Linked DNA regions of Tamandua tetradactyla. The protein of the gene in region 4 binds, or shares a complex with, the protein of the main gene of each other region. Links are inferred from orthologs where the notes say so. Each region holds a gene or a part of one and is shown on either strand. Other genes may lie near its edges.

Evidence for each region.
Region 1: the proteins of CCKBR (region 4) and GNAI2 are in contact, whole or in part, in a cryo-EM structure (PDB 7F8V), measured with the Homo sapiens proteins. The link is inferred for Tamandua tetradactyla from reciprocal best matches to the Homo sapiens genes CCKBR and GNAI2. Residues at the interface, in NP_795344.1 of Homo sapiens: Thr87, Thr89, Arg152, Ala155, Ile156, Pro159, Leu160, Ala162, Arg163, Val164, Thr167, Ser169, Ile241, Gly248, Leu249, Lys328, Val331, Leu335, His394, Arg396; in NP_002061.1 of Homo sapiens: Glu28, Ala31, Arg32, Glu33, Val34, Lys193, Leu195, Thr220, Phe337, Thr341, Asp342, Ile344, Ile345, Asn348, Leu349, Lys350, Asp351, Cys352, Gly353, Leu354, Phe355.
Region 2: the proteins of CCKBR (region 4) and GNAQ are in contact, whole or in part, in a cryo-EM structure (PDB 7F8W), measured with the Homo sapiens proteins. The link is inferred for Tamandua tetradactyla from reciprocal best matches to the Homo sapiens genes CCKBR and GNAQ. Residues at the interface, in NP_795344.1 of Homo sapiens: Thr87, Val88, Thr89, Asn90, Glu151, Arg152, Ala155, Ile156, Pro159, Leu160, Ala162, Arg163, Val164, Trp165, Gln166, Thr167, Ile241, Leu245, Gly248, Leu249, Val331, Leu335, His394, Arg396, Phe397; in NP_002063.2 of Homo sapiens: Arg30, Arg34, Asp35, Arg37, Arg38, Leu40, Ser198, Val199, Phe341, Lys345, Asp346, Ile348, Leu349, Gln350, Asn352, Leu353, Lys354, Glu355, Tyr356, Asn357, Leu358, Val359.
Region 3: the proteins of CCKBR (region 4) and GAST are in contact, whole or in part, in a cryo-EM structure (PDB 7XOW), measured with the Homo sapiens proteins. The link is inferred for Tamandua tetradactyla from reciprocal best matches to the Homo sapiens genes CCKBR and GAST. Residues at the interface, in NP_795344.1 of Homo sapiens: Cys107, Pro114, Asn115, Gly118, Thr119, Phe120, Met134, Gly135, Val138, Tyr189, Gln204, Cys205, His207, Leu222, Val349, Tyr350, Ala352, Asn353, Arg356, Pro361, Ala363, His364, Leu367, Ser368, Ile372, His376, Tyr380; in NP_000796.1 of Homo sapiens: Glu85, Ala86, Tyr87, Gly88, Trp89, Met90, Asp91, Phe92.

Annotation. Positions count from the first base shown.
Region 1 is NC_135341.1:35,847,415-35,854,425, forward strand, and holds the start of GNAI2 (guanine nucleotide-binding protein G(i) subunit alpha-2), read right to left. Parts: upstream 3,016-7,011; 5' UTR 2,999-3,015; coding exon 2,881-2,998; intron 1-2,880. UniProt on the Homo sapiens protein: Guanine nucleotide-binding proteins (G proteins) are involved as modulators or transducers in various transmembrane signaling systems.
Region 2 is NC_135328.1:108,702,333-108,709,732, reverse strand, and holds the start of GNAQ (guanine nucleotide-binding protein G(q) subunit alpha), read left to right. Parts: upstream 1-4,385; 5' UTR 4,386-4,464; coding exon 4,465-4,600; intron 4,601-7,400.
Region 3 is NC_135332.1:25,473,227-25,480,188, reverse strand, and holds GAST (gastrin), read left to right. Parts: upstream 1-4,412; 5' UTR 4,413-4,478; coding exon 4,479-4,545; intron 4,546-5,906; coding exon 5,907-6,122; intron 6,123-6,281; coding exon 6,282-6,385; 3' UTR 6,386-6,451; downstream 6,452-6,962. UniProt on the Homo sapiens protein: Gastrin stimulates the stomach mucosa to produce and secrete hydrochloric acid and the pancreas to secrete its digestive enzymes. It also stimulates smooth muscle contraction and increases blood circulation and water secretion in the stomach and intestine.
Region 4 is NC_135334.1:79,677,810-79,684,841, reverse strand, and holds the start of CCKBR (gastrin/cholecystokinin type B receptor), read right to left. Parts: upstream 3,002-7,032; 5' UTR 2,901-3,001; coding exon 2,750-2,900; intron 1-2,749. UniProt on the Homo sapiens protein: Receptor for gastrin and cholecystokinin. The CCK-B receptors occur throughout the central nervous system where they modulate anxiety, analgesia, arousal, and neuroleptic activity.

The DNA.
Region 1 (7,011 bases), on a different chromosome or scaffold from region 4:
CAGGCCAAGCAATGGGAATAGCAGGTGCAACAGCCCAGGGGCAAGAGAACTTCTGTATTTGTACCCTGAAGCTCTCTTGGACCCATCCGTGGGCCCTGCCTCTCCTTTCTTCTGTGAGGCTGCCCACATAAGCCCAACCCCAAAACAGAGACTTCCCTTGGGCTTTGGGTTCCTTTTCCCCTACGTGTCCAGCCCAAGGACCTGATTTCCACCTGAACTCAATCAAGCTGAACTGGTGGGGTGAGGGTATCCCCGGAGTACAGCAGCTTTCAGCTCCTCTGCTCCCCCCACCAAGCTATCTAATGAAAGTCCTCTCGCCAATGTGTACCATGTCTGCTTCTGCCCCAGTGACAATGAATGTACCCGCCCACTGGCCGGGCCACCCCGAGCGGGAGGGAGCCTGTATGCGGGTGGGGCAGCAGGCGTGGCTCTGGCTGGGAGGGAAGGCTGGCAAATGCCCAGCCCAAGTCCCGTTGCCCAGACAGAGTCTCTCCCGCTATGTGGGACAGGCGCCCAGCACTCTGAACCTGCCACAGCCAAGCTCCCACCACCACTATGTACCTGGAGGGAAAAAGGATGGGTCAGCCAGGACTGCTCCCCAGGCAACTGTGGCAGATTAAATCTTCAATTTCAGGAAGAGCTTGCTCTCCCAGCCCCTTGCAGTATATGCTCTGCAGGTCCTAACCCCTACTCACATCACCAACAGAAACCTCCCTGAAGCTCCTATTCTCTCCCAGCTGGGCCCTGGCACTCCTGTGGCCCTTCCCTGGCCAGCCCAGGAAGCCCATTTCAGAGAGGAAGAAAAGGCCAGAGAGGCAGGATGCTGGGATGGGCTCACCAAGCTAGAAAATGCTGACCGATACTGCACTCCTGGCTGCTGCCAGCTCAGTGTAGGAGGGGTTACTGGGCTCCACCTGGCCTGGCCCAAAAGCTGAGCCGAGCTCCAAGGGGCAATCCTGGCAGGACGGAGGGCCTTTCTAGGGCTGGGGCATAGAATAGGCCAGGAGCCCTGTGTCCCCACCTCTACTCTAGTCCCACATCTCCTTAGCCACCAGCTTAATCGACTGGGTAAGGGGATAGCTAGAGACCCCAAGCTGAGCACCGAGAGGCTGTAGGACCGGAAGTGCCCTCCCCAGGCCCAGCGGGCAGCAACAAGCATTCCGCCGCGTCGACACCCACTCATTGCCGCCGCCGCTCTTCGCAGCAGCAGAGACAGGAAGAGGCAAGCGCCCAACGCAAAGCAGCCCAGGAGGCTGGGCCGCCGCCCCTTCCCGCCCCTTCTCTTCCTCCCTGCGGCGGCGGCAGCAGAGCGGATGCCATTTTGAAACCTCTGGGGCTGCGCCCCTGAGGCCAGGCCCCTGGGGACAGTCAACAGATGGGCCCATGAATGGACAGTTATTTGCTGTCCCTCAGCCACAGGCCCAGCCTGCAAAGCTCTGCTTTTCACAACCTGAGGTCTCCACAGCAGCTCTGAGGCCGAGGGGCCACACCCCCACACACATATACTATTCAGCCTCTAACACTGTTGTGGGGGCCTCCCATAAAACCCCTTGAAATCCCCAAATCAGGCTTTCAAGCTTCCCCATGGGGAGCTGGTCCAGGATGTCCACCGGACCCCCCACCTTTGCAAAAGCCTAGCGCAGAGGCTCAGAGGCACCTGACTGACCCCCAGCTGGTCCCCCATACCCTCATGAAGCTGGTCCACCACTCCCCCACTAGGAGGGTCCCAGGATACTACAGCTCCATCCACTCCGAAGGCCTCAGACCAGCTCTTCAGGCCAGTTCCCAAGCCGTCAGCGGATCTCAGCCCGCCCGCAGGGGCGGCAATATGTCGGCTGTCTCACCACTTCCACTTCCCTCCACCATTTGAGCAGCCACCATCTTCCCGGGCCTTGGAAGTGGCCGCAACCCCCACTCCACCCCAACAACTCACCCCTGCCCCTCCCCCACACACCCTCCTACTGCCTGGGGGCTCACAGGAGTAGGTCTTGAAACTTAAAAAGGTAATGCAAGCGGAAACTCCCAGAGAAGCCTGAGTGGGGCTTCACTCCAGCCCCCTCCTGGGAGGTCTAACGAGCCTGCTACCTCACCCTAGCCCCTGGGCCCCTCCTCCTGGCCCGGCCCAATAGTGCAGGGGTAGGCGAACCTGGGGAAGGCCAGAGAGTGGGAGAGGGTGTGCACAGCGTTTTGGGGAGTGATGCCTGCAGAGGACCTGGGGGGCCGAAGTCAGGGAGCAGAGCGTCTACAGGTTCGGGGATTCCAGCTGGAGTGAGGGGTGCCCTATCGTGGGTTCTCACGCAGGAGATGTCTTAAAATCCGAGGTCACAGGTAGAAGATATAAAGTTCAGAGTATGGATGGGGCACAGGAGGGGAAGGAGGGAGTGGGGGGGGCCTGGGAGGGGCCCCAGGGATGCTCATGCCCAATAGGAATACGAGGGAGCAGGTGAGGGGAACAGGTGGAGACTGAACGTAAAGGCGAGGTAGGGTTCTGGGGCTTTGAGTAAAGTCTAAAGAAGGATGGAAAGACAAGATGGCAGCTTCTGAGGGTCTATAAGTTTGGTCGGCAAGGGATGGTCAAGCAGGGTTCTGGGTAGCTGGTGTTGGGGGCCTGGTGGCTGGGTTTGGGTGTTTGGAGTCTGGAATGATTTGGGATTCTTATCTAGAGCCTGGACTTCAGCTTAGGATTTCGGATCCTTATGTGACGGTCCGACTGGGGTTTCAGGCCAGGCTTGGGGGTCCAGACGCGGGCGGGAGCGAAGGGGAGGTCCGAAGCCCTTGTCTACGAGTTCGAAGTCCTTGTCTGGGAATCTGGCAGAACTGAGGGAGGGGGCGGGAGGGTAAGGGGGGAGGGGGGTATCTCAGCGCGGGGCGCGGCCTCACCCAGCAGCAGCAACTTCACCTCCCGCGCCGCCTTTTCGCCGTCCTCCCGCAGGTTCTTATCGATCATTTTGGAGCGCTCGGCCGCCGCCTTGTCCTCGGCGCTCACGGTGCAGCCCATCCCGCCGTCCGCCCGGCCCGGCCGCCGCCCGGCCCCCACACGGCCCCCGGCCCGGCTCGGCCCCGCCCGACCAACTCCGCTCCGGCCACCGGCCCTCTGCGGGCAGCTCTCGGGTCGACAGTTCCGAGCGTCTGCGGGCGGTGCCTTGCCCGCCGCCGTGCACCGACGGCGGGGCGGGCCAGGGGTGGGGCCCGAGCGAGCCAGGCCTGGGACTGGGCCGGGGCGGGTCCGGAGGCGGGCCCAGAAGAGATCCGAGGCCGGTGATTGGTTAGAGGGCGGAGCGGCGGATGAAGCTGGGCAGGGCCCAGCCTTGGGCCAGGGCTGGAGGCGGGGCCACGCCGAGAGTAGGCACTAGAGGTAGAGTAAACGCTCGGATTGGGCTCCGAGAGGGCTTCAGGCGGGGCCGGGCTTCGATTGGATGCGGAGCCAAGCGTCTGGAGCTCTGCGGCCCGACGGCGGCGGTGGGAGGTTCTGGTAGCCCGAGGCTAGGGGACCGCTGCACCTCCCGGGTGGAGCAGGAACCCGCCCTCTGAGCTTCCGCGAGTTAGGCGAGTGAGGTGGAAGAGGCGTGTCTTCGTCACAAGTTAACGAACCCCTTAAACTTGTGTCGGGATCTACCCAAACCCGGGAGCTCTTTAAGACTGCAGTTTTCTATCTTAAGGCAGGTTTGCCCTCTTCTCTCCCTGGGTTGCAGCAAAACAAAGAAAATGAAATCGATTGCCACCTCTACACTTTGGCCCAAGCTGTTTCCACCAGCGGGGGGTTATTCTTCTGCTCATCCAAGGCTTGTCCATCCTTTCCTGATCTGCTGGGAGATTTCCTCCTGCAGGCAGCCATCCTGGACTACAGGCTGGGAATGGGTAGCCAGGGCCCTGAGAAAAAGAGAAGAGAGACAGCTGCCACCCGCCTTCTCAAAACAGAAGTTGCTAGGATCTTATGACCTGTCCCCTCCAGGGCCTGTCCTCCACTGGTGGTAGCCACGACCTCAGCCTATTCTTCGTGGCCTTTCTCTCCACAGGTAGCTGCAACCCTGTAGCCTATTCACCAACCACCACAGGCAAAGCTGGGGTGGGAGCAGCAGCCTCAGTGCCTGAATGCTTTGGTCTTTCTGATCCTGGTACCCCGCAGGAGTCCACAGCCTTGGCCTGGCATTTGAAGGGGTCTGCCAAGGATTACCCAGAAAAGGATTCCATGTGGTCCTAGTTGCCATGAGCCCAGGAGGCCCCAGAAATAGGGAAAGTCCATGAAGTCAGGTGGGGAGCTTGTCCACCGGCAGACCCCTGTTCAGCACAGACCCCCCTCCACACATACCTTGTCCCGGTTTCCAGTCCCCAGGTTGGCTATCCACTCTCCCTGGATACCCCTATCTGAATGGCTCCCTTATTTGAAGGGCCATTGGCCTGTAGGCCCTCCAATGGTTTCCTCAGGCCCCCTCCTGCCTGGAACCCAAACTCCAGCAGGCCCTGCCACGGGCATCTTACAAACATAGCAGAAACCTGTAATGTCCATCCAGGAGACATGCCCTAATATAAGCCTGGACACAGACCCAGCCGGAGACACGCTCTATACATCCACATAGAGGTCCAGTCTCCAGCATGCCTCACATCTACAGAACACACTATAAAAATGGGAGTACGTGGCCAAGAACACAGCCTGTCCTCGGACAGACTACAAACCCAAGGCAGGCCTCTTCCCTGCCAGCCCCGCCCCGGCCTGAGAACTGATCCTCACTCCTCAGGCCTCCCCCGGTTGGCTCCTAGCAACAGCCGACAGCTCTTGCAGTTGCTGGGCAACAAGGAGAACCTGTCAGCCCCTTGGAGGCCCGGCTCTCCAGAGGTGGGCGAGACACAGACCCCAATCAATAGAGGCAGGGCAGGGCAGGGCTACTGGAAGGCATGGCGCCAGCAGCCTCAAACCAGGTCCTGTGGCTGTGCTGGTACACTGGATCTCCCTGCATCATTCCCACCAGCCAGCCACTTCCTTCCAGCCACATGCTCCTGTGAGAGAGTCCAGCACTCCCGTCCTTCCAACCTTCCAAAGGCTCCCTTTCTGTCTTCATCCCTGGGGATCTGCCCAGGCCTCCACTTGCCACTCCAGTTACACACATCCCACTCCAAGGGCTCAGGACCCCACACAGTCATCTCTAGACTGCCCTCTACTCTGATTGCCAGCCCCATGCCCACAACTCCTTGGAGGCTTCCCCCAGCCACCTACACACCTCAAGAGTACGTAATCCTGAACGGGGTACAACCTACCCCCACTGGCCCCTAGTCTGAGCATCCCACCATTTCATGGTCCCTCCCACCAGCCAGAACCATTAATTCCCCTTCCCCACCCCTACATTCTGTTAGCCCTTTCCCTTCCTCAATTCCACCTCAAACTTGTGGCAGTTCTGTGTCCCCACTGTCCCTCATTCTAGGCTTCCAGCCTCCTCCCTGGCTCCCTGTGTCCCCACTACAGCCCATTCTGCACACAGCAGCCAAGGGAATCCTACTGAATCAAATCACATCACTTTCTTGCTCACAAACCTTCTGTGGTTCTCCAGGGCTCTGAGGGTGAGATAAAGCCCATGCACACTGCTTTGGACAGTGCAGGAGGTGATAAAGTCATCATTGGCAGCAAGGACTCTGGGGAGGAGCCAAACTTGCTGGTTGCATGACTTTGAACAAATATTGGAATCTCCTTGTGCCTCAGTTTTCTTCTAAGTAGAACAGTTTGGTGACTGTGATACTTACCCACCGCACCGGCCAAGGTTAGGACTAAGGGAGGAAATGTAGGTAAAATGCTCAGACAAGGCTGACACATGGAAAGTCCTCAAAAGGAATGAGTTGTTATTATAGTGATTTCTGTAAGGCCCTGTAGGGGCTATCCTCACCCTCTGGTCCATGTCCTCTCCCTCCACTTGCAATACGCCAGCACTCCAGCCATCTGGTATGCCTTGCTTATCCCCCCTTCCCGCCCCTTCCCTCTCTTTATTAATCCCCCCAACCCCACCCTTTCCATCTTTCATTCCCTGGCTGTGCGGAAGGGCTCTTTGACTCCTACTGTCCTGGAGCATCCCCTTCCCCAGCCCAATCCCACGATGGGATGTCTTCCCCACCCAGGTCCCTGACTCCAGGTTCCTTGTAGCAAAATGCTGTTCCTTCAGGGTGGCAGGTCATATTTTTCAAATTAAATTAATGAATGACCCAAATCCTCCCCCACCCTTCCACGAGTTCTCCCACCCTGGAGCTGGGAGAGTTACCACTAGAAAAATATTCAGTATAGTTGTATATGCAGAAAAGGGAAAAACCAATCGTGCCTGGGAAGGTCAGGGAACCTTCTCAGCAGAGGTGATGTGGGGAGTGCTAGAGAGAAAAGCAATGTGGAAGGTAATTCCAGGAAAAGGGAGCAACACATGCAAAGGTAGGGAGGCAGGACTGAGAGGGTGGGTTTCGGGAAGGACCAGAGGGAAAATCAAGTCTCAGAACTGGAGAAATTCCTTACTTTGCAGTTGAGTCAACTGAAGCCCAGGAGAGGAAAATGATCTCCATCCTTGTTCACCCATCCTGATTCCTTAATAGCCCAGAATCCTGGGGAGACACTTTTTGGGATAGGGTGTGGCTGCTTGCCCAGGACCTCATGGGCTGCAAAGGAGGTGTGACTTGTCCTCATACATGCCAGCCCAGCACCACCTGCACTAGACTGAGAAGGGCAGTGACACATCATCCAGCAGAGCCAAGCATGGCACTCCAGCTGAAGTGGAAAAGTGGTAGCTGCTGGCTCACCCCAGAACAACCAGAACAGCCTTGGAGCTCACCACAGGCCACTGAGTGGGTCCAGATTGTTCTAAGTTCCTATTGTGCACAGGCCCTAAGCAGTGGAGGTACAGTGGTCCCCCACTGTACCCCCTCAGTGGACTGTGGCCCCACCCCCACCCCTCAGTACAGAGGTTCCAGGAAGAGGAAGCTGCCAGCACTTCCCCAAAGGCAGTTTCGGGTGGGTATTTATACCTGGCCTCTCCTGCCCAGAGT
Region 2 (7,400 bases), on a different chromosome or scaffold from region 4:
GACTATTAAGCCTTTAAGGGCTGTGGATGCCTCAGGCACCTGGCCATTTGCAAGCGTGTTTGTCGTTAATATAGTTGATGGCACTCTCTTATTTATTCAGCATTTACTGAGTGTCAGTTTTAGGCTAGGCAATTTTTTAGGTGCCCTGAAAACAGTTACGACAGACAAGGGCTCTGCTCTCAGGCAGCACCTAATCTTCTGGGGGAGAGATGCAATTACATTACAGTGTTGTGGGACATGCCATACATTGTCAGAGAGTCATGGATTATTCTATCGGCTTTTCCTTCCTTTTACAAGAAAGGGCTTTTCCCTTTTTGCTTCCAGGAACACTCCTTGAGATATCAAACGACGTTTTTACCGTTGTTTCCCCCCCCCAGTACCCAAAAGAAATTGTGGGCTAGGTATCTGTCTCAGGATACCACAGAAGACGTGACAGTCTTCACATTTTTGTAGAGTTGCCTCTGAATTTCAATGCTCCCAGGGTTTTTGTACTTTGCTTTTCAGCCATCTAGTACTTGCCCTTGCATTCTTAAAATGGTTTATTATCTCACTGTCTGTTTGGGGTGAGTTGCTGATTGGTTGTTATGGGGGTGTAGATATATATTTATTGAAACCCTGTTTATTCTCAAATGCCACATTTCCTGTAGTTATCTTGAGTTCTACACAGAATGAATGTTTTTTCTTTTTTTATACATTTGTATTGTTACTTCTACCCCTACCTTAATACAAATTGATTTTATTGTAGTAATTCAGAGTCTCATTATACCTTGAGACCATAAGCCTCTAGAGGGCCAGAGCAGCATTTTATTCATCATAGTCTCTCTTCCTGCACCTTCACCTTGGTTATTTCTAAATAGTCGGCACTGAGTTAGTTTGTTGACTCAGCAACCTGGAATTTTGCAATATTTTGTAATTTTGTAATATGGTGTGGTAGCTTGAGTTACGTACCCCGGATTAATTTGATTACATTTTTTTTCTTTTTTTTTTAGCATGGCAGGCTCCTGGAATCAAACCCGGGTCTCTGACATGGCAGGCAAGAATTCTGCCACTGAGCCACTGTTGCACTGCCCTGTGTACCCGGATTTAGACATGTGCTTGGTCTTAATCCGCCTTCCTGTGGGTGTGCATCCACAATGAATAGAACATCTTGAAGATGTTCTTTTTGGTTAAGGTGTGGCTCAACTGAATGAGGCTGGGTCTTAAACTGGATTACCGGAATACTCTATAGACTGAAGAAATTCAAACATAGGAGCTGGAAGCTGGAAGTCAGTCAACAGAACTGGGAAGGGAGAGGAGAGGACATCAACATGTGATAGGAAAACCAAGGGACTCACGATTGCCTGCCAGCCAGAATGCTACCAACTGAAACTGAGAACCAATAAAGTCCTGTTTTTAAGCCAATTCATTGTGTGGTATTTGTCGTAGCAGCTGGGAAACTAAGGTACTTGGTTAGTTGCATATTTTTAAATGTCTAGAACACGATCAACAACTTGAGTAGTTCCTGCATGAATTTTGTTTGTTTGATGTAGGTCTTATCAATGCTTGCTTGATGAATGCTTCCCATATATACATATAAAGGTTTCTGGGTAGGTCTGGGTTAGTACATAGAATTTTCTTGTCTTACTTTCTTCTTGCCATCCATATATGGCTCCATCCCTACAGAGTATTGTATACCTTATTTCCTGATTTCTTCCCAACATATGAAAAAATATGTTTTTATTGATTTTTTGTATCCATTCCAATATTTATTGGGTGCCAGGGAGTGGGGATATAGGGGTGACAAAACAGACTTTGATTCTACAATCTGTTACAAGTTTAATTCTTTTAATCAAATAGATCAATTCAGTCTAAATGGATTGCCTGATAGCTTGATAGCACAGTTTGAGAGACATTTTCAAAAGCCTCACATGGATCCATGGGTAGGAAACCAGAGAATTGAGGCCTCCTGTCATTTGTTTTTCTGTCTCTCTGAAACTTGTGTATATACATATTTTAGAGGATGCAAACTCATAGTTAAGTTTCCCCCAGAGGTATTCTAAACTTTTGCATGTTAAATTTTAATCTTTAATTTCATTAGTCACCTAATTTAAAATGTTAATTTCATATCAAGTTGTAAGCTTTCACATAAAAGGTGTGAGGTTTGTCTTCTCTGCTCTCCTGGCCATGGTGAACATTAATCATTTTCTAGGCTGAATATCTTTTTATGAAGGGAACCTACAATATCAGATCTTATATCTTTATGACTTGTTTGATCTGAGTCCTCGCTGAGAAAGAGAGAGAAGGGGACAAGGGATGGGCTGTAGCAAATGAAGGAAGGAAATCACATACCTATCATCCAAAAACCCTATGTGCATTCTTGACTTGCGGCACTAGCACAGTCAAAACTTTACACTCTGGATGAGCAAGTTCCACCAGAAACATCTCAGAGAAAATATGAAATTTGAAAAAGACATTCCCTTCCTAAGATGTAGTTTACTCTCAAGATGTCAGGTTCCATCACAGCTGGAAGTAATATAGGTGTCATCTCTTGTAGCCACTAGAACTAAACGCTTCAGCAAGGAGATTTTGTTCTTGCTGCCATTTATCGGTAGTGTATCACAACGAAAGATGCAAACGACATTTTCAAGTGCCTTAATCAAAAGTGGGAAAAAAATAACCTAGAATGGGATTTTGCTGGGTCGGTGTTTGTTTCCCCATTTTCTATTTTATTCTTTCCTTTTCATTTATTCAATGTGCATAGAATGCACGCGCAATAGAACCTCTGTCTAGGGGAATAAAGTAAGTTTGATTACTTGGCTGTTACACATCCTGAGCCTTTTCAAAACAAAAGGAGAACTTGTAAAATATAAAAGCCAGAAACAACCTCAATTGCATGAAAAGTTGGAGGCCATCAGGAAACTCTTGGGCAGCTTCATTTTCTCGGCTCTGGATTTAGATTTGTATCTGCAGTGACTTTGTGGACGGTTTCGCCTATTAATGATCTCCTTAACCCCTCTGGGAGCCAGTGACAATTCCTTCTCTTCTCCACCCCACAATCAAGAGTATCTTATTTTCTAAGACTGAACTCGGGTCAGAGGTGACGCGAGATATTTTCTAACCGAATGGCGTTTTAGAACGTTTAGGAACGGGAAAGAATGCATATGTGGTTGAAGAGCTGCTCCGCCGAGCAGAAAGACGCTGCCTGAGAGCCGTGGGCGCGAGCGCCTCCGCCGCCCGCGGGGTAGCCAGGCAGGGTGTCCGCGGCGCCAGCCTGTTCAGTGAGTTCGCGGGTCTAAATCCTGCCACTTCCAGGAGGGGCTGAGGCCGCGTACCCAGGCTGGTGGGCCGAAAGGCAGCCAGAGGCAGCCATATTCCCGCTTTACCACGCCCGGGCGGCCAGCCGGGCAGCTGCAGGTCGGCGGCCGCCCGAGCCGCAGCAGCGGATACCCGTTGGGGCGGCGCGTCGGCGAGCGCGGGCGACCGGGTCCCCGCCCCAACCTCCGCTCTGGGCGGCCGGAACCGCTGCGCCCGCGGGCCCCGCCGAGGGCGCGGGAGCGGAAGGCGACCGCAGAGCCCGAGGGGGCCGGCCCGGCGCGGGGAGCGGCGCGGGCGAGGCGAGAGCCGCACTGGGAGGCGCGTCGCGGCGGCAGCGAGCCCAGGAAAGCCTTCCAAGAGGGGCCGGGCGGCACCGCCTCCCGACTCCCCTCCTCCCGCGTCCATTCCCTCCCTCCCTCACTCCCTCCCCCTCCGCCTCCTCCTACTGCCGCCTCCCTCCCGGATCTGTGCTCCAGTTCAGAGAAAGAAGAAAATGTGTGTGTGTGGCGAGGGGGAGGGCGAGCACTGAGCAGCCGCTCCGCGCCTGGCAATCGGGGCCGGGGCTGGGCGTCTGGCGGAGGCGGAGTGCGCGGCGGTCGGGCGGGCCGGCGAGCGGTGTTTGCGCGCGAGCCGGGCGGTGGGCGCGGGCAGGGCCGAGGGCGCCCGGGAGCCGTGTCAGGCGGCGGCGAGGAGCGGGCGTGCTGGGCGAAGGGAGCCGTCGGCGGCCGCTCGCTGCGGGGACGCCCCGGTGGATGAGCTCTAGCCGCCGGGTGCAGGGCTTAGAGGACCTTCGGCTGCTCGGGGGGCGAGGCGGGTTGCCGGTTCCCGGGGAAGGAGGCGCGGGCGTCTGAGCGAGGCCGGGCGCGGCGGCCTTCCCTCGCGCGCCCCCCGAGCCAGTGCCTGCGACCGCCTCCCGCGCCCGCCTCGCTCCTCCCGCGGCCGAGGCGGCCGATCCGGGCTGCCAGCTCCCGCCGCGCCCCCGGCCCACCTGGTGGCCCCGGCCCTGGCCGCGGCTTCCGCGGAGGCTCCCCGAGCTCGTCCCGGACGCGCGCCCGGGCGGCGGGGGCTCGGCGGCCACCGCTGTCTCGGGGGGGCGAGGGCGGGAGGGTGTGTGTGCGTGCGTGTGAGCAGGGGGTGCCGGCGGGGCTGCAGCGGAGGCACTTTGGAAGAATGACTCTGGAGTCCATCATGGCGTGCTGCCTGAGCGAGGAGGCCAAGGAAGCCCGGCGGATCAACGACGAGATCGAGCGGCAGCTCCGCAGGGACAAGCGGGACGCCCGCCGGGAGCTCAAGCTGTTGCTGCTCGGTGAGTACGGCTCGGGGTCAACCGCCCGGTGCTCTCCACCTGGGGCCTCGCGCCCCGGGTCCGCCGCCCCCGGCCTGTCGGGGCAGCTGCTTTCTTCGGCCCCCGCCCCTGGGCGCCCGCGGCGCGCCCCCGGCCAAAACCCGCACCCGCACCCTGAGCGGGTGCGCGTGCGCGTGCCCACAGACACACACACACACACACACACACACACCACACACGCGCACATGCACACACACACACACGCACGCACGGGCATGGGTCAGGGCTGCCCTGCCCGGTGTCTCGGCGTGTGCCTTTTCGTATCCCCGAGGGCTGTGCATTCGGGGTGCGGGTTTGACTGCTGTGCATTTGTTTAGTGGAAAATCACTTCCCGGCGGAGCGCGGGGGTGGGAAGGTGGGCAGAGGGATTGAACTTCCAGTGTCGTGGCCTTGGTTCTCCTTGGGTGGTGAAGTGAGGAGCTGCATGTGTGAGACCCCGAGGGTGGCGAGCGGATTCAGGACACTCTGAGAGATGGAGTGCGGTGGGATGGTCTGTGTTTCTATTACCAGCGTATGCCGGGGTCAGAACTGAATGGTGGAGTGGTGGGCAGACGCGCGACTGGATTCTCCAAGGAGTGATGTTGAGGGAGCCCAGCAGTGGGCCAGCTAAAGAAAGAGGGCTGATGTATTGGCTAGGGGTCGGGTGGGGGGTGGGGCAAGCCCAAAGGTTGAATTGTTCTCTAGCCACCAGGCCACAGAATGGGGAGACCCCAGAAGAGTTTCTTGGCCATCAGATGGTGACAAGCGCCTTTCTTGTCTGCACCATTCCTTCCGGATAAAGATGAAGGATAAGGGAGCGTTGTACTGTGTGGTTGTTGACAGCGATGGATATCTTTTGTTTAATAAGGCAAACCCAAATGTAGGCCTGAATTCACAATAGTTACTGCTGAAAACCAGTGCAGCCTCCCAGTTATTCTCATGGAAGCAAAGAACAACCTTTTGTTTGTTGAAAACGGACAGCAATTTTAATATCTTTGAAATCTGGGTTGGAAGGGAAAATGGGAAGCATAGGGCAAAAATTTCTCTTTAATCTTTGAAAAAAGAACTGACCATTCTGCTTTAACATTAAGTTAGCGAGAAAATGCCATTTCTCAAAGAGGAATTCTATTGATTATTATCTCTGAGAGAATGTTCAGAATCAAGTCATCAGGGTTCACATACAAGCCACCCTGTCATACTTCTGAGGTATTGTGGAAGGAAGAGCAAACAGCTTTGCAGTTACAGGCCTGAGAAATGCTTCCACTTGTGTTCTGCATACTTGTGTGTATAATACATACGTTTCTCAAATATTTTCTGTAAGAAAAGAAAATTGTATCGTCAGTGAGGGTTTGAGAAGCAGGCATTTTCTTTCTTATCTTGAGCTGTATCTCCTGGTTAAAGGAAACAATTGCCTTTGGGACAGAACTGCTTATGTCCTGGATCATTTGCAAGAAGGAACAAAGTATAATGATCACATATAATTATCAATGGTTAATTCACGTGCCATGGCTTTTTGTCTTCATTTGAAACCCAATTAGATAAATGAGTACGTGTGTATTAAAAACAGAAGGCAAAGCACTGGTTGAAAGAGGTAGGCTTAAGGCAATGAAGCCGGGGTGGAAGATGTAGATTTTTTTTCTTCTTTTTTTGATCCTCTCATTTGGGTTACTTCTAATGGCTGAAAATGGTCTGAATTCCCAAGATGAGGAGAAAATAGAGGGAGCAAGAGGACTTTATAGTGCTTAAGTGCATCATTAAGGGAAAAAAAGTGTTTTAGTGTGATTTGTTTAAAGAATTGTTTTTCTTTGTATTTTGTCTGTTTACAGTTTTATTTGCTTTTGTTTGGCTGTAAATGGGGTGTTTGAGGTCTTTCAAGGCAGCCCTGTTGCCTGAAATGTGGCAGCCTTGGGTTTTGCAGCAGCTGAGGGTTAGAGACCTGGGGGTTTTGTCAAAGGGTCTAGGTTTGAATGGCTAGAAGGAAGACTTCAGGGGAAATGAACACATATGGATGGTCAGTTACATACTGTTTATTTAAATAACCAACTGTGCTTTAAAAATTAACTTGGAGATAATTTGCCAAGGAATAAGAATTAAAGAAAAACAGGTTTACTGCTATGGTGGTGGTAGTATGGATAACTTTTTTTTCCTATTAGATATTTGAGAAGGGTTTCATACAGTCTCCTGCTTTCCTCAAATATGGCCTGTTAGAAGTGGTAGAAAAATATATTAATTTAGAGCCCACTTGCATTAGTTAGATTTAAAAATTATACAGCTTGCTATCAGAAACGTGATTCGAAGACATCATGTAAGAATTGCTACAGCTTCATGTTCTAAATATGTTGCTTTGGTGACAACTGCTGCAATACTTACACTATATATATAGTCATACTATCACTAAATGTAGATTTGTTCATGTGTATGGGTGTGTGAATTCCTGATTTTCTGGGCCTTGCAGGGAAATGATGGTTGATTTCTGGAACAAGGAGAGGTGCAGGGAGGGCTTCCTTTTACTCCTGATGTCTGGTGATGATGAGTGAACTTTGTGTTCTGACTCCTTCATTCATTTAAATAGTACTTATTAGGAGAAGGTTATGGCCTTTCACAGTTTAAAAATTTACTAATATTTTAAACCTAATTTATTTAAATTAAGGAATTACCCATGTATGGAAATTTCAGCATAAAACTTTTTAAAGTAAATTTTATTTCAAAGCATGATGCCATTTTAATGAATTTGTTTGGCATGGATAGAAATGCATTTATTTACATAATTAGTTTATTTTTG
Region 3 (6,962 bases), on a different chromosome or scaffold from region 4:
CACACATCAGTACAAGCAAAAAGTATTTGTAAAATTAATTTTCCATCGCTCTTTTATGTAAATTAGATGCTCTTCATCAATGTAAGTGTAATTTTCTAAAACAAAGCTATCAAAAGCCAGCATTTATGTCAGGAATATTAATTCCTTTTTTTTTTTGAAATTTATGTCAGGAATATTAATTTCTTTTTTTGAAATTTGTGGCAGTAATTCAATCTGCAAACAAAGTTTGGCTTTGAATTTTTTCCATTATGGTAAAACACATAAAACATGAAATTTACCATTTGAATCATTGTAATCACAATTTAATGGCATTAATTCGCAATGTTGTGCAACCATCGCACATTTTGTTCCCAATATTTTTCATCACCCAAACAAACTCCATACCCATTAAGCAATAACTTCCTTTTCCTTGTCTCCACAGCCCTGGTAACCTCTCATCTACTTTCTGTCCCTGCGAATTTGCCTACATATATAACTGGAATCTTCATATAACTAGAATCATACAATATGTCCTTTTGTGTCTGGCTTATTTCACTTAGCCTAATGTTTTCAAGGTTCATCCATGTCAGAGGGGTCTCAGCACTTCATCGCTTGTTATGGCCCAGTAATATCCCACTGCGTGGATGAAACATATTTTATTTCTCCATTCATCTGCTGAGGACACTTGGTTTATTCCCACTTTTTGGCTGTTGTGAATAACGCTGCTGTGAACTTTGGCATATAAACACCTGTTTGAGTCTCTGCTGGATGTGATTTTGCATTTTATGTGAGATGAGAGATGTCCCACGAGCACTCGGTCAATAATGGAAATAGTGGAAGGTGTTACTAAGATACGGGAGGCAAAAAAATTCCAAGGTGGAGGCCAGGCAGTGAGCCAGGAGGCAGGAGAAGCAAAACATGGATAGACCCGGGAAGAGCTGGTGTGAGGTCCACGTGGAGGAGAGGCATGAACTCCAGACGGGTACAGGACATACGGAAGGAGCAAGGAAACGGGGAGAATATTCTGGAAGTCAGCAGGAAGCAACAGCATGGAGAGGGTGCCAGTAGGCTGTGATAAGGAAATTCTAATAATGAGACCAGACCCTTCCTTAGAGTTCAGCACGTATCAGACACCATGCGAAATGCTAGAGCATCCTATTTAACCTCACCATGGCCCTCCATGGTAGGTGTTAAGTATTATCCCCACTTTACAGGTAAGGAAACTGAGACCTAGAGAGTCGAAACTAGAGAGTCGAAGTGACTTGTCTTAGGTTGCAAGTGCCAGAGCTGGGGACTCCAAAGCCTCCTTGCCCAGTCCTTTCACATATACAAATGTCCTCCCTGCACACAGCCTCGTGGACAGCCCCAGGGACCCATCCCGCGGATTCTGATCTGATAGGACTGAGGGGCAGCCTGGGCCTTGGACAATTAGAATTGCCAAGTGGTCCTTGGGTTGAGAGCCACTGCTTCAAAGTCACAAGTAGGCATCAGAAGAGAAGGGGAGCTGGGTGGGTCAGGGAGAGAGGGCAGAGGCAGGAGTGGGGGGGTCCTCTGCTCTCTCTCACGTGCAGCCAGACCAGCTGCCTTGCCTGACGTGTGAGGGGGGCCCCCCAGCTCAGCCTGAGGGCTGCACACGAGGCTGTCCTACCTTATCACTCACACCACAGAACGTATAAGCCCACTTCCCCCTGTCCAGCGCCCGACATGGACACCGTGTCCGCGCAATCACCTCCCAGGTGTCACTGTTTGTCCCCGGCCAGTCCACCACTCCCTCTGAGGCCCTGGTTGCCTAGGGCAGTGTGACCGAGTCCTCACCAGCCTCTCCCTCTTCCGCTATCAATAACCAATTAGGAAGCTGAGCACCGCGTCCCTGACAGCAGTTTGCAGGCAGTAGATAGTGACCCGTTTCCCAAAGCTCGGCCCTGGCAGGCAGGAGTGTGGTCAGCTGTGCCAAGTCCCTATTGGAGACTCTCCCCACCAGAGAGGGTTCTCCCCTCCACAGGGCACCCTCCGCTGTTAGGGCATTTGTTTTTTGGGTACCTCTCTTCTCCCAGAATCTAAATTCCGTGAAAGCTATGGAAAGGCTGGTGGTTTTCACCTCTTGCCCATGGGGTCTCCTTCCTAGTGAGGCCGAGGTCCCACTTTCTGGATGTGTGAACTCAGGGCGGGGGTTGATTCCTGCCTGAGCCTCAGTTTCTTCATCGGCGGGAAGGGGACACACCAGTACTTATGTCCTAGGATTGTGAAGAAGAGCAGCCGGGCCCAGTGGCACACAGCACTGTCATTGTGATGGCAGGGGCAGGGTCCATAAGCAAGGATGGGGGTCCAGGGCCTGGGTTCTAGTCCTCAGCTCATTAGGCTCAGACACTGAATTTTCTGGGTATTGGAGTCAGCGTTGGAGCCAGGATGCGAACTCTGGCCCTGGGGTTCTTGACCCCCTGCATGCTAGTAAGTGCCGGTCTCAGGGCTGGCCTCCACTGGCCCCAGCCCTGCCGCCTCCTCCAGGGCTGATTCAGGGTGGGGTCCCTCTGCCTTGAGGCCATGGGATTTGGAGTCGCAGAGCGATGCTTTTTAGGGAACTACCCTCCTTTAAGCTCTGGGGGGAGAGAAGCTCCTCTGCATATGCCAACAGCGTGCACAGGCCTTGTCACATTTCTCCTTCACTGCAGCCCTGCAAGGTAGGAATGAACGACTCCCATTTCATACCTGAGACTGACTGAGGCCCAGAGGGGCTAAGGGGGAGGGAGGATCCTAACCAAATCAGATCCCTCCCTCCTGAGCACCGTGCCTCTTCTGGGCATCACCTTCACGGGCCCCTCCAGGTTATCTCCCTCAATTCCTGGAGGAGAAAACTGCTCAGAGATGGGGACAGACTTGCCCAAAACTCAAAAGCTAGAAAAGGGCAGAGCCTTGCCTTTCCCATCAGCGTCCCCAGGCGAGGAGAACTTGCAGCTCCCGGGACAGTGAGCTCCTTGTGGGGAGCGCGGCCTTTCTCATCCCCAGTGTGCCTCCACCCCCTGCCCTGCTCAGCTCCCAGAACCTGAATGCAGCACCCCCAGCCCCCATCCCCCCAGCTCCCGAGCGGAAGGACACACTTGGATTTGGTGAAATCGCCAGGCCTCGTGCAAACAGCCTGAGGAAAATCAGCCAGGGAAGGCATAACCCTTCCAAGGGCCAGAATAGAGAGTTTCGGGCTCTGATACCACCAGGGTCCGGCTGAAGGCTGGTCATTTATCATCACCATGGCAACATGAGTATCTCTAGTCCCCCAGGATGGGAGCGGAGCTGCTGCCCACCCCACCCTGCCCTTCCATCTCTGAGCATCAGAGACACAGCTATTTACGGCCAATCCCTGCACTGCTTTTGTCATTTTCATTTATTCCATCTGCTAAGTATACAGTCCTGCTATGAATTAGAGCGGCCAGAACATTTGGCCACTGGTTGCCTGGGACACCCCCCAGCCTGCATCACCACTGCCCCTTACCAGGGTCCCAGGGGCACCAAACCTACCCCAGACAAGGGGGGCCCCGATGACGCATGCACGAGAACTGAATCTCCAGTACCAACTGCAGAAAAATAAAAAACAGCTAAGAGCTAGTTACATCCGCTCAAACCGAGTTGAGGCAGCAGTTTATCAAATAAATCAGCAAGCATACCATTGCATTTTCTGGAAGGTCTTTGACACAACTTTCTGTTTGCGAGCCATTTTAAGATGAATTTTCATTTTGGAAAGTTGTGACTGCATTAGGCAGGAGACTATCTCCCCTGGGCAGCAAGGTGAGGAGGCTGGCAAGGCAGGACCCTCAAGGAATTGGCTCAGGGTACAGAGTTCGAGGGAGGTGGGGCGTGGGGTGGGGGGAGCCAGAAGCTAAATCCAAGCCAGCCCAGAAAGGCATAAGGAGAAGGGAGAGGCCGGGAGTTTTCCAGGGTTAGAGGAGGGGGCAGAGCCTTCCGAGGCAACCAGGACACGACAGCAGGGCCATCAGCCCATGGCCCATTGCCCCTGATAACCACGACACGTCCTGTTTGCAGAGCCCGGCAGAGGAGACAGGGGATCGATACATCACCCCACATTCACGCACTCCCTGCTCTTCAAACACCAGCGTCTGGTGAAATGTGCCTTCTTCAAATCTAAGATCATTCGGTCCATCTGCCTCCCCTGCCCGGCGATGGGACGCAGTACAAGGGATGGTCCCCAGAGACCAGCACCTCCTACCTGCCCTCACATCCCACTGAAAAGCAATCCCCCTCCCCACTCCTGCCCTTACCCCATGAAGTCAGCACCCCTTCTCTACCCCCACATCCTGGACAATTGAGTGACACTAAATGGCAGGGTGGGGCAGAGGTGATGGGCTGTACTTCTGCCCCACCCCCATCCCTCCTTCTGCCAGGTGGGGAGCCTCCCATGCCTCCTTCTGCCAGGGGGGGAGCCTGGCTTCATAGGGAGGAGGCCTTGGGAGGGAGCTTGGGGGCTTTATAAAGCCGGCCTGGGGCAGCTGATGGAGCAGAGTGCTGCGAGCCACCGGGTTTGGCACTGCACCCGTGCCCATCTCTCCAGATCTGCAGGTGAGAAAACCCAGGAGGAGAGGGAGATGCCGGGAAGAGGGCTGACAGGTCCTCCGTCCACCTCCATGCAAGGGGTCAGGCCCCCGGCCAGAGCAGAGACCAGGGCTCAGCCCTTGTGTCTCTGAGAGGGGACCCCCCCCCCCGCTTAGCCCACGGTAGAAGCAGCCCAGGCCCACCTGCCCTGGGCCCTGACCCTCTCGCCCAGGCTCACTCCAAACCTGGAGATGGGGAGGACAAAGGCTTCTCTCCCCGCTCTCAGATGAGAAAGTTGAGGCCCACAGGGGAGCTGTGACTGACCGAAGTCACTCAAATGAGGGGCAGATCTGGGCCTGGAATCCACAGCTCCTGGGACCCAACTCAAGCTCTTTCCCAGACCAGCCCTATCTAAAAGCTCTTTTCTAGACCAGCCATTTCCACAACGATAGAAACGTAAATCTGTGCCGTTCACTCCAGTAGCCACTGGCCACATCCACGCTAGAAATGTGGCTGGTGTGCTGATTAAATGAACTTTTAATTTTCATTAATTGAAATTTCTAGAGCATGTGTGGCTGGTGATGCTTTCCAACTTTGTTTCTTTAGCTGCAGAACTCGTTTTCTTTCACAGGAAATCTAACAGACACCCCACCACCGCCACCACATTAAGAAAAACAGATAAAAGCAGTGTTTTATTAGTACAAATGTATTCTTATGAGGTCAAAGTTATATCATCTACTTAAGATAACAGTAACACATCAGAACAATGAGGTGCAAGCAATAACATTTGAATTTTATATTTGTTGGCGCATCCAGTTTATTTCTCTACATGGTTTCCCCAAACTTGCCTCACCCTGATAAACAGTTGCAAATGCTGACAGTTTGAGGTTTTTTTAAACAGCTTAATTGAGATCACAGGTTATTGCTCAGTTGAGTAAAAATAGCAGGAGAGCCTTCCCTCCAAGAACTGCCCCAAAACGGTAGGTTGCCGCCCCACGAGTAAACAGGTGGGTGGGCTCCATGGTGTTTCCAGGTGTATATAATGTAGCTGAGGGTGTGTGTTCCTTTGGCATTATGATTTACAAATTTGCTTTAAGTTCCAAGACTCCAACATTTACAGAGCCGCCGACAGGGCCTCGAGCTCTACAGAACAGTTTGGAGCCGTTGCTCTAGGTTTTTAATTCCTCCAGAAGAAGCTGTTGCTGTGCTTGGGGAGATGGGCAGGCAAGGTGCAAGGCTGGGGGGCCTGAATAGAGCTGGAAGGAACTGCAGAAATGGAGCCCACGGTCTATGGGGAGATTCGCAGAGTCCTTCTGGTCCAGCCCCCTGCCTCCAGACCTGCCTGGGGACAGCCCCATCTTTAAGCTCGGCCCATCTCCCCTTTGCAGACAAGATGCAGCAACTGTTCGCATACGTGCTCATCTCTGCGCTGGCGCTGGCCGCCTTCTCGGACGCGTCTTGGAAGCCCCCCTTCCAGCTGCAGAACGAGCCCGTGGGCCCACTGGCCAGCAAGGGCCTGGAGCCTCCCCAGTCCCACCACCTGGGCCTGATCTCTCCCCACCGAAGGCAGCTGGGGCTCCAGGACCCCCCACACATCGTGGCAGGTAGGAGTTGCCAATGGCCATCCCCACTTTTCTAATCCAGCCAGGTTCCGGCCAAGTTCCACCCACCGGCCGGGAAGCCAAGTGCCCCTGCTCACCACCACCTCCTCTCCTGTGCACCCCCAGCACCCCTTGACGCTTCCCTCTTGTCCCGCTCCTCAGACCTGTCCAAGAAGCAAGGGCCGTGGCTGGAGGAAGAGGAGGAGGCGTACGGCTGGATGGACTTCGGTCGCCGCAGTGCTGAGGAGGGCGCTGAGCGCCCTTAGAACCACGTTTCGGCCCCAGCCCCACCCTGTCCTGTGAAAAGCAAATCCGAATAAACTCGCTTCTGATGGTGCACCTGGAGTCAAGTGTAGTGGGGCCGGGGAGGGGGCCTTGGTGGGGGGCAGAGCTGGGGCAGGGAGGCCCCCCCAGGATAACTCCTCTCTGCCTCCCCAGACCCCAGCTCTGAGCAAGAATCTGCACATGTGGGTGGGAAAATGGGATTGCAGCCAGAGCAAGCTTTTGAAAGACGAAGCAAATCATTGGCAGCTTAAACCATCCAATGCTTCCCATCGCACTTAGGATAAAATACCAAAGCCCTAAAGAGCTGTCTCCCTCTCTCCCCTCTTCTGTGCCACTCCCTTCCTCTCCTCTCTTCCTTTTTGTTACACAGACACTCCATGTTCTTTCCCGCTCAGGACCTCTGTCCTTGCTGTTCCCTGGGCCTGGAATGTCCTTCCTTGGGCACAGTGCATGGCTGGTGCCTTTTTCTCTCTGGGGTTTTAGTTGAAATGCTTTCTCCTCAGGGACCCACTCTTCACATGAACACCCCATTATTCTCTATCACGACATCCTGCTTTC
Region 4 (7,032 bases):
CTCCTATTTTCTTAGGCATCCTTGCTCTATTGACACCCCCTCTCCTGCGCCTTTAACCTTCCTCTGCCCATCAGTACTCTTAAAGTGCTCTTGTCTCTACTACACCATGCCCCCCTCCTGCCCCTGCCCAAATCCAAAGGACAAAGCTACACAAACACATCCACAACTCCTTCTAAGGACTTCCTTGTTATTTACTCCAAAGAACACTGCTCTGTCTTTATCTGACTTGATTTTTTTGCCAGCGTTTGAAATCAATTACCCCATCCTGCTGGAAACTCTATTTTTCCTTGGCTTCTGGAAAGACATAGCTCCCATCTCTCTAATAGTTTCATCTAAATTTCCATGGACTCTCCTTCCTCTGCCTGGTTTTTGAAAATTGGACTTCTGCAGGGTTTTGCCTCAGGTTCTCTTTTTCTTTCATTCTATACAATCTTTGGGTGATTTTCACTATTCCCATAACTTCCATTATCTCCATTGGCAAAAGGCTTTCAAATGTGTATTTCCAGCTCAGGCCTCTCCCCTAAATTTCAGATCCATGCATTCAACAGTTTTCAGAACAACTCCATCTGGGTGTCCCACTGACATTTAAACTCAGTGGGTTCCAAAGTGAATTTATAATCTCTTCTGAATCTATTTTCTGTTCTTTCGTTATCCTTCACATTATATAGAACCAATACCCATCGAATACATTGCCCTAGCCAGAAACCTGGTTGTCATCCCTGGACCTCTTCCTCAGTCTCCCCTTTTAATCAGACACCAAGTCCTGTTGATTCTACTTCCAGAAGTAGTTCTCCAAATCCATTCACCTCTCTCCTTCCCTCTGCGACTCACTTCATCTAAGCCAGTGTCATCTTTCATATGTATCACTGTAATAGCATTCTAAAGTATCCCCCTGCCTTCCATCTCAACAACTAGTCCCAGTTTCAGTAGTTTCTATGGCCCTCAGGATAAAATACATACTCCTTAGCTAGATATACAGTATTCTCTATAAACCCTCTAGGCTCCAGCCTGAGTGTTCATTACTCCTCTCTTAGGGAATTTGATACAGTCACACAAAAATATGTCACATTGAGTAAAAGTGCCATGGATTTAAACTTTGGGCTTTCACACATCCTGCCTCTCTGCTTGGGATTTTTTCTTTTTTACCTGTTCTGCCCCATTCACCCTTCTGGCTCTCTCTCATTTTTCTGATTTCAAATTAGATGTCACTTCCTCAGAAGGCCAACCTTGATTTCCAAGGCCATGTGCCCACAGCCCTACCAAGGTATTTTCCATTTTGTGCTGCAGTTCCTTGGTTACTTGCCTGTCTCCCATACTAACCTGTGAGCTCCATGAAGCAGAGACTGTGTCAGTTTTGTTCAATTCATGTCCCTGGCACCTAGCACAGTCTCTTGTTCAGTAAACATTTTTGAATGAAAGAATCTGAGTGTGTGTGTGAGTGTGTATAATAACGGAGCTGAGAAAGCATGTGTTATTTTGTGGCATAAATAAGTACTCAGACCACAGTTTATTTCAAGTTTCTTTCCCTTTTCGGGCTTGGAATAATTTACTTCTGCTTAATACTTTTACCTCTCCTGGAATACCCCTCTTTCCTTTTCTGCCTACTGAACTCCAACTTCAAAATTTGGCTCCTGGATTCCCTTCTCTGTGAAGTTAGTGGACTCTGTCAGGCTGTGGTAATTAGTTTTCTCTTTTGGGTACCCACAAGTCAGACCCTTTCATAGTACTTCCTATGCTAACTGTGCTATATCCACGGGCTTGTCTCTTCTCTATACTTGATTATGAACTGATGAGAGCCGAGACTGGGTCTAATTTTTCCTTGTGTCCCCAGAACCTAGCTCAGGGACTAGGATAGCAGATGTACACTAAACATTTAAGGAAAGGAGGAGTGCAAGAAGGGAAAAATGATGTACTTTGAGCTGGATCATCCAGAAAATGCTAAGGTGAGCTGATGGGAAGAGTGAAATTCATTTTGGTGGTGGTGGTGGTGGGGGGGACTGGGTGATTGGAAGCAGTCCGAAGGAGGTAGGAAGAGAGAAGGTGGTGGCACAAAGGGATGGAACCAGTCTCTGTGAGGATGAGCCCTAAGGAGAGACAAGCTATGCTAGGGGCTTGGAGGAACTTAGCGACATCACTTGGAAACAGAGAAAGAGAAGGTAGAGAGCTTTGAGAAGAACTCCAGCTTGGGAGGCAGAGAGGTTTGAGGATGAGTAAAATAGAGGCAGACAGCTCTGGGGAGCAGCCCCCAGGGTCCAGCCTAATCCAGGCATGAGGATGTCATTTGGGAAGGCTAGGGGGTGGGGTGGGGGACACAAGAAATAACTCAGCTTCCCATCAGGCCTTCCAGAGTGCTCTTCCCACAATCTTGTCCCCACCTTCCCCCCAATCTTTCCTTTCTTTCTTCTCTTCCCCTGTATGGCACTGTGGATGGGATGTACAAGAGAGACCTGGAAGGTTTGGCAAGAGAAGGTCCTTGCTTCTCCACTGTCTGTGTCAAGGAGGGGGATGTGTGTTGGGGAGGGGGCTGTGTTTTCAGAGAAGGTCTGTGAAGAGGCTGCGATGTGATGGAGTTGTAAGAACTGTGGGGCCCCATGTGTGAGAGAGGCCGTTTGGGGGCTGAGAGAGTGCTCTGAGGGGGACGGTGTGGGCGTCCGAGGAGGCAGTGTGGAGGCCGTGGGGGGCCGCTCTTAGAGTCCTGAGGTGCTGTGAGAAGGAGCTTGTGGGGGGGGGGGCTTAGGGAGACACCCACCTCGTGTCCCGGCTCCGCGGAGGCGAGGGGGGTCGCAGCTGTGGTTGCCAGTACTGCTGCTGTTGAGGAGGAGGCCCCCGGGACGGCACAGAGAAGCCCCCGGCCCGGGTCCGGGTCCCAGCACGCTCCGATTCAGCCTCGGTAGCTCCATGGCCCCCGCCGGGCCCGCCGCCTCCCTCAGCTGGGCCGGGCGGACTCCTGCAGCAGCTCCACCTGGGCGCGCGGCGATTCCGGCTCAGGCTCCCACCCCCGAAGCGCCCCCAACCCCGGCCCCGGCCCCTGCCCCTCCACTCCCACTCTGCGCGCCGCGCCGAGGCTCCCGCCCCTCCCCGGCTCGGGGCCGCATCTGTCCCCCCAGGTGACTCCTCTGCCCACCCCGTCCCGCCCCCACCCCCACCCCTGCGTGACTGTTCTCCGAGGCTCGACCCCCTCCCTAGATGTCTCCCGTCTCCTCTCACAGATTTCCTTCCCGCCAGCCTCCCCTCCCCTCCACCGCCCTGGGTTCTGGGGAATTCTTGGCTTTCGCTGGGGAGCGTGTGTGCTTGCGTGCGTGTGTGTGTGTGCGTGTGCGTGTGTTGTGTGTGTGTTGGCGGGAGGGAGAGTTAGAGGGGTGAGGGAGGGCGCGGCTGGCGCGGAGCGCTGCATCTCTCCCGGGTGGAGCAGGGACTTGGAGGTGTCGTCGGAGGCGGGGTCTGCTCGCAGGGGGCACCGGCCGCGGCGCGATGCCTCACCAGGTGCTCAGCGCCGCGGTTACCAGAAATTGTGCCGCAGTGGCCTCAGCCATCGCGGCACTGTCGCTGCCATCGTGCCCTGCAGCTCCTCGCGTGGGCCTGGGGTAACTGCTGCAGCTGCCCCGTACCCTCCGCCTTCTACCGCCCAACACCCAAAGAGTCTTCAGCAGCGGGCATGGTTGGGGGTGCAGGACAGTTGTCCCCAGGGGTCTCCTGACAGGGGAAAGTGCTGCCGGGAGCAAGAGTCTGCCTTGGCTGTCGGAGTCCGCCTGGGGTGGTGACACCTGCCCAGGATAAATGGGGGGTGGTGGGTGATTGTGAAACCTTGTGGCTAATGTTCCCTTTATCCAGGGTATGGACAGGTGAGAAAAACAAAACAAAACAAAACAAACATGTAACCCATAACAAAATCCGAAATATATTTACTAATTGTTGCACTGTGTTTTGAAATTTATTGCTTTTTTGTATATATGGTATTTTTTCACACACACACACAAGTCGATTGTGATGAAAAAAATACTCATTTCCTCTAATCCCTAATGTTCTGGAGCAACTAGAAGGAAAAATCTGAGATGGTATGGTTGCCCATGACAAACTCTGGGCTCTGTCCTGTAACTACTTGTTGAAGAGTCCTTTGAAAACTGTTGCTTTTTTCTTTCTTTGCTTTGTATCTACGTTATATTATACAATTTAAAAAGTTTAAAAAATAAGGACAAAAAATAAATAATGGGGGTGGACAGAAAGTAAAAAAAAAAATGGGTAGTTTGTGATATTAGTGATCAGGGAGAGGGATGGGTAAGGGGTATGGGATGTATTTATTTTTATTTTTATTTTTTTTTCAGGAGTGATGGAAATGCTGTAAAAATGATCACAGTGATGAATACATAACTATTGTGAGCCACTGATTGCATACTTTGGATGGACTGTATGGTACATGAAGATATCTCAATAAAATATTTTAAAAATAGCACTATCTTTTTTTAAAAAATTGATAAATTAGACTTCATCAAAATTTAAAACTTTTGTTCTGTGAAATACACTGTTAAAAGGATGAAAAGACAAGCTACTGTAATGGAGAGGCTGAGCCTACCTTAATTATGCCTAAGAGTCATCTCCAGAGGACCTCTTTTGTTGCTCAAGTGTGGTCTCTCTCTCACTAAGCCTGGCTCTGCAAGTAAACTCATTACTCTCTCCATGTGGGACATGACTTCCCGGGGCATAAGTCTCCTTCGCAACACGGGACATGACTCCTGGGGATGAGCCTGGCCCTGGCATCATGGGATTGACAATGACTACCTGACCAAAAGGGGGGAAAGAAATGTAGCAAAATAAGGTTTCAGTGGCCAAGAGATTTCAAATAGAGTTGAGAGATTACTCTGGAGGTTACTCTTATGCAAGCTTTAGCTAGATATTGAAAATTGCCACAGTATACCAAGCCCCAATCAATAGTATTCCTAAAAGCCCTAAAGAATACCCAGGGCTCTATCTGAGCCTCTATAAATGTTCACTCACTAAGTTTACCTTTCAGAAACCTAAAACTTTTCAGATTGTTCTTATGCCAGATAAGTCCTGAAACCCAGAGGTACCTGTCTCACCAAGAACCTCAACCAGTTGCATCTCCCTACTCCATAATATTGACACCCCTTTTTAACATGAAGAGTTAGAGTGGTCATTGCCCAAATATCCCTAAAGATTGGGAGAAGGATGAAAGGAGAAGCAGGAATTATAACAGAGAAGATAGGATTTAACAAATGAGTATGACTGCTGAATCATTGTATTGATATTTCTTTTTAGTCTCCAGTGTATTAGAGCAACGAGAAGGAAATAACCTGAAATTGTGACACTGTAACCTATACCATACTTTGAAATTTGTTTTATAACTACTTGTTCGATTGTACTCTGAAATTTATCAATATTTGCATATATGTTATATTTCACAATAAAAATATTGAAAAAAAAAAAGCAATGGGCATGGGGGTGGGTTGGGATATGGTTCCAACCTTCCGCGGTCTCCAGGCAGCACTCACCCCTACCCGACTCGCTGACGCTCCCTGTTTGCTCTCAGGGCAGGTGGACCTGCCTGTGTAGGGCAACAGGTTCCCACGAGAGGGGGCTGGAAGGGGGTTGGGACACTGGGGTGAATCAGGAACAAAGATGAATGGGGTGTGTGCAGGATCTGAGGTGGGTTCAGCTACTTGGAGCAGGACTTACTTCTCCTAATATTTCAGCCCAGGTGGCCGTCCACTCTCCTCTATTTCAAAGAAACTCTACAATGAACAGAAGTTGCATCCTCTGGCTATTCAGTAGTTGTAAGAGGTGGGGGCATCAGTCAAAGGGCGGATTAGAGTGGTGATGGGGTCTGGGTTTATGGGGAATTCAGAGTCTTTATCCAAGCGGTCGTGTAGGGAAAACTTGGTCCAGCCAGCTGCTCCCTCTTCCCTTCCTCCTGGCACTGCCTGCTTTGCCCAGTGAGAAAACCTGGACCGGGAGAGCTCGGCTTACTGTTTGTTCAGCTTCAGCCCAGGTGGGGCCACAGATAACCTACTGGATTTTTTTCCCACATTGGCTAGAAGGAGGGGGTGGGGTGGGAGAGCAAAGGGAATGTAGGGGAGAAAGGAGTGGAAATAGGAGAGGTAGACGGGCAGTCACTTATTCAGCAAACATGTGCCAGGTATAGGGCTGCACACTAGCTGTCTGATACAGTCTGTGCCTGAGTGGCTCCCAATGAGGTAGGCAGAGAATGACAGATGTGCCAAAGATTGCAATATATGGTCATAAATGCATCCACAAAGAGGCACAAATCAGAAATTTAGGAAAATTCCTTGATGCCTTGCTTTCTTTTCTTCCTGTAGCAGAGGCTGTTGTTCAAAGCCCAGACTCCCCTTCAAAAATGAAGGTTTATTCTCCAGCTGCTGGAAGGCTGCTGGCAGACAGCCCTTCAGGGTCCCCGTCCAGAGTTCCCTGAGCTGAAGAGAGCAGGTTCATCCAAGGTGATGTTTCTTTCCTGGGGTATTCTGTATCCAGTGACTGATCAACACAAAGGTATAAAGGTCCAGTCTCCTCTCCCCAGTGGAGGACAACTCTGAAAGACCTCCACAGTCCCAGAGCGCCTCAAGAGGTTGACTGAGGCCTTTGCTGGGGCCACATTACTGATCAGCTTCCTCCTTTGCCCAATTTGGATTAATTTCTTTCTCTTGCATAGATGTTGACTCCAACAGCACTCCTTAGCAAACATGCTACATGGTAATCTCTGTGTTATAGTCTGCATCCCAGAGAACCCAAGTGCTTCACTCCTATTTTCAGTCAGTCATGAAGTTCTGTTGATTTTATCTAAGTATTTGAATCAATCTGCTTCTCTCTCCCTGACATTACTCTATTGTCATCCTGCTCCCTTGCACTACTCTTCTAGGTTCCTAAACAGTCCACTGCATTTAACTGATGCCTCCTTACATCCATCCTCCACCCTATAACCAGTGATATTTTCACGATATAAAATCTGATTGTGCTACTCTTCTGCTGTTTGCTTTTGGGATAAAGAGAAAACCTTATAAC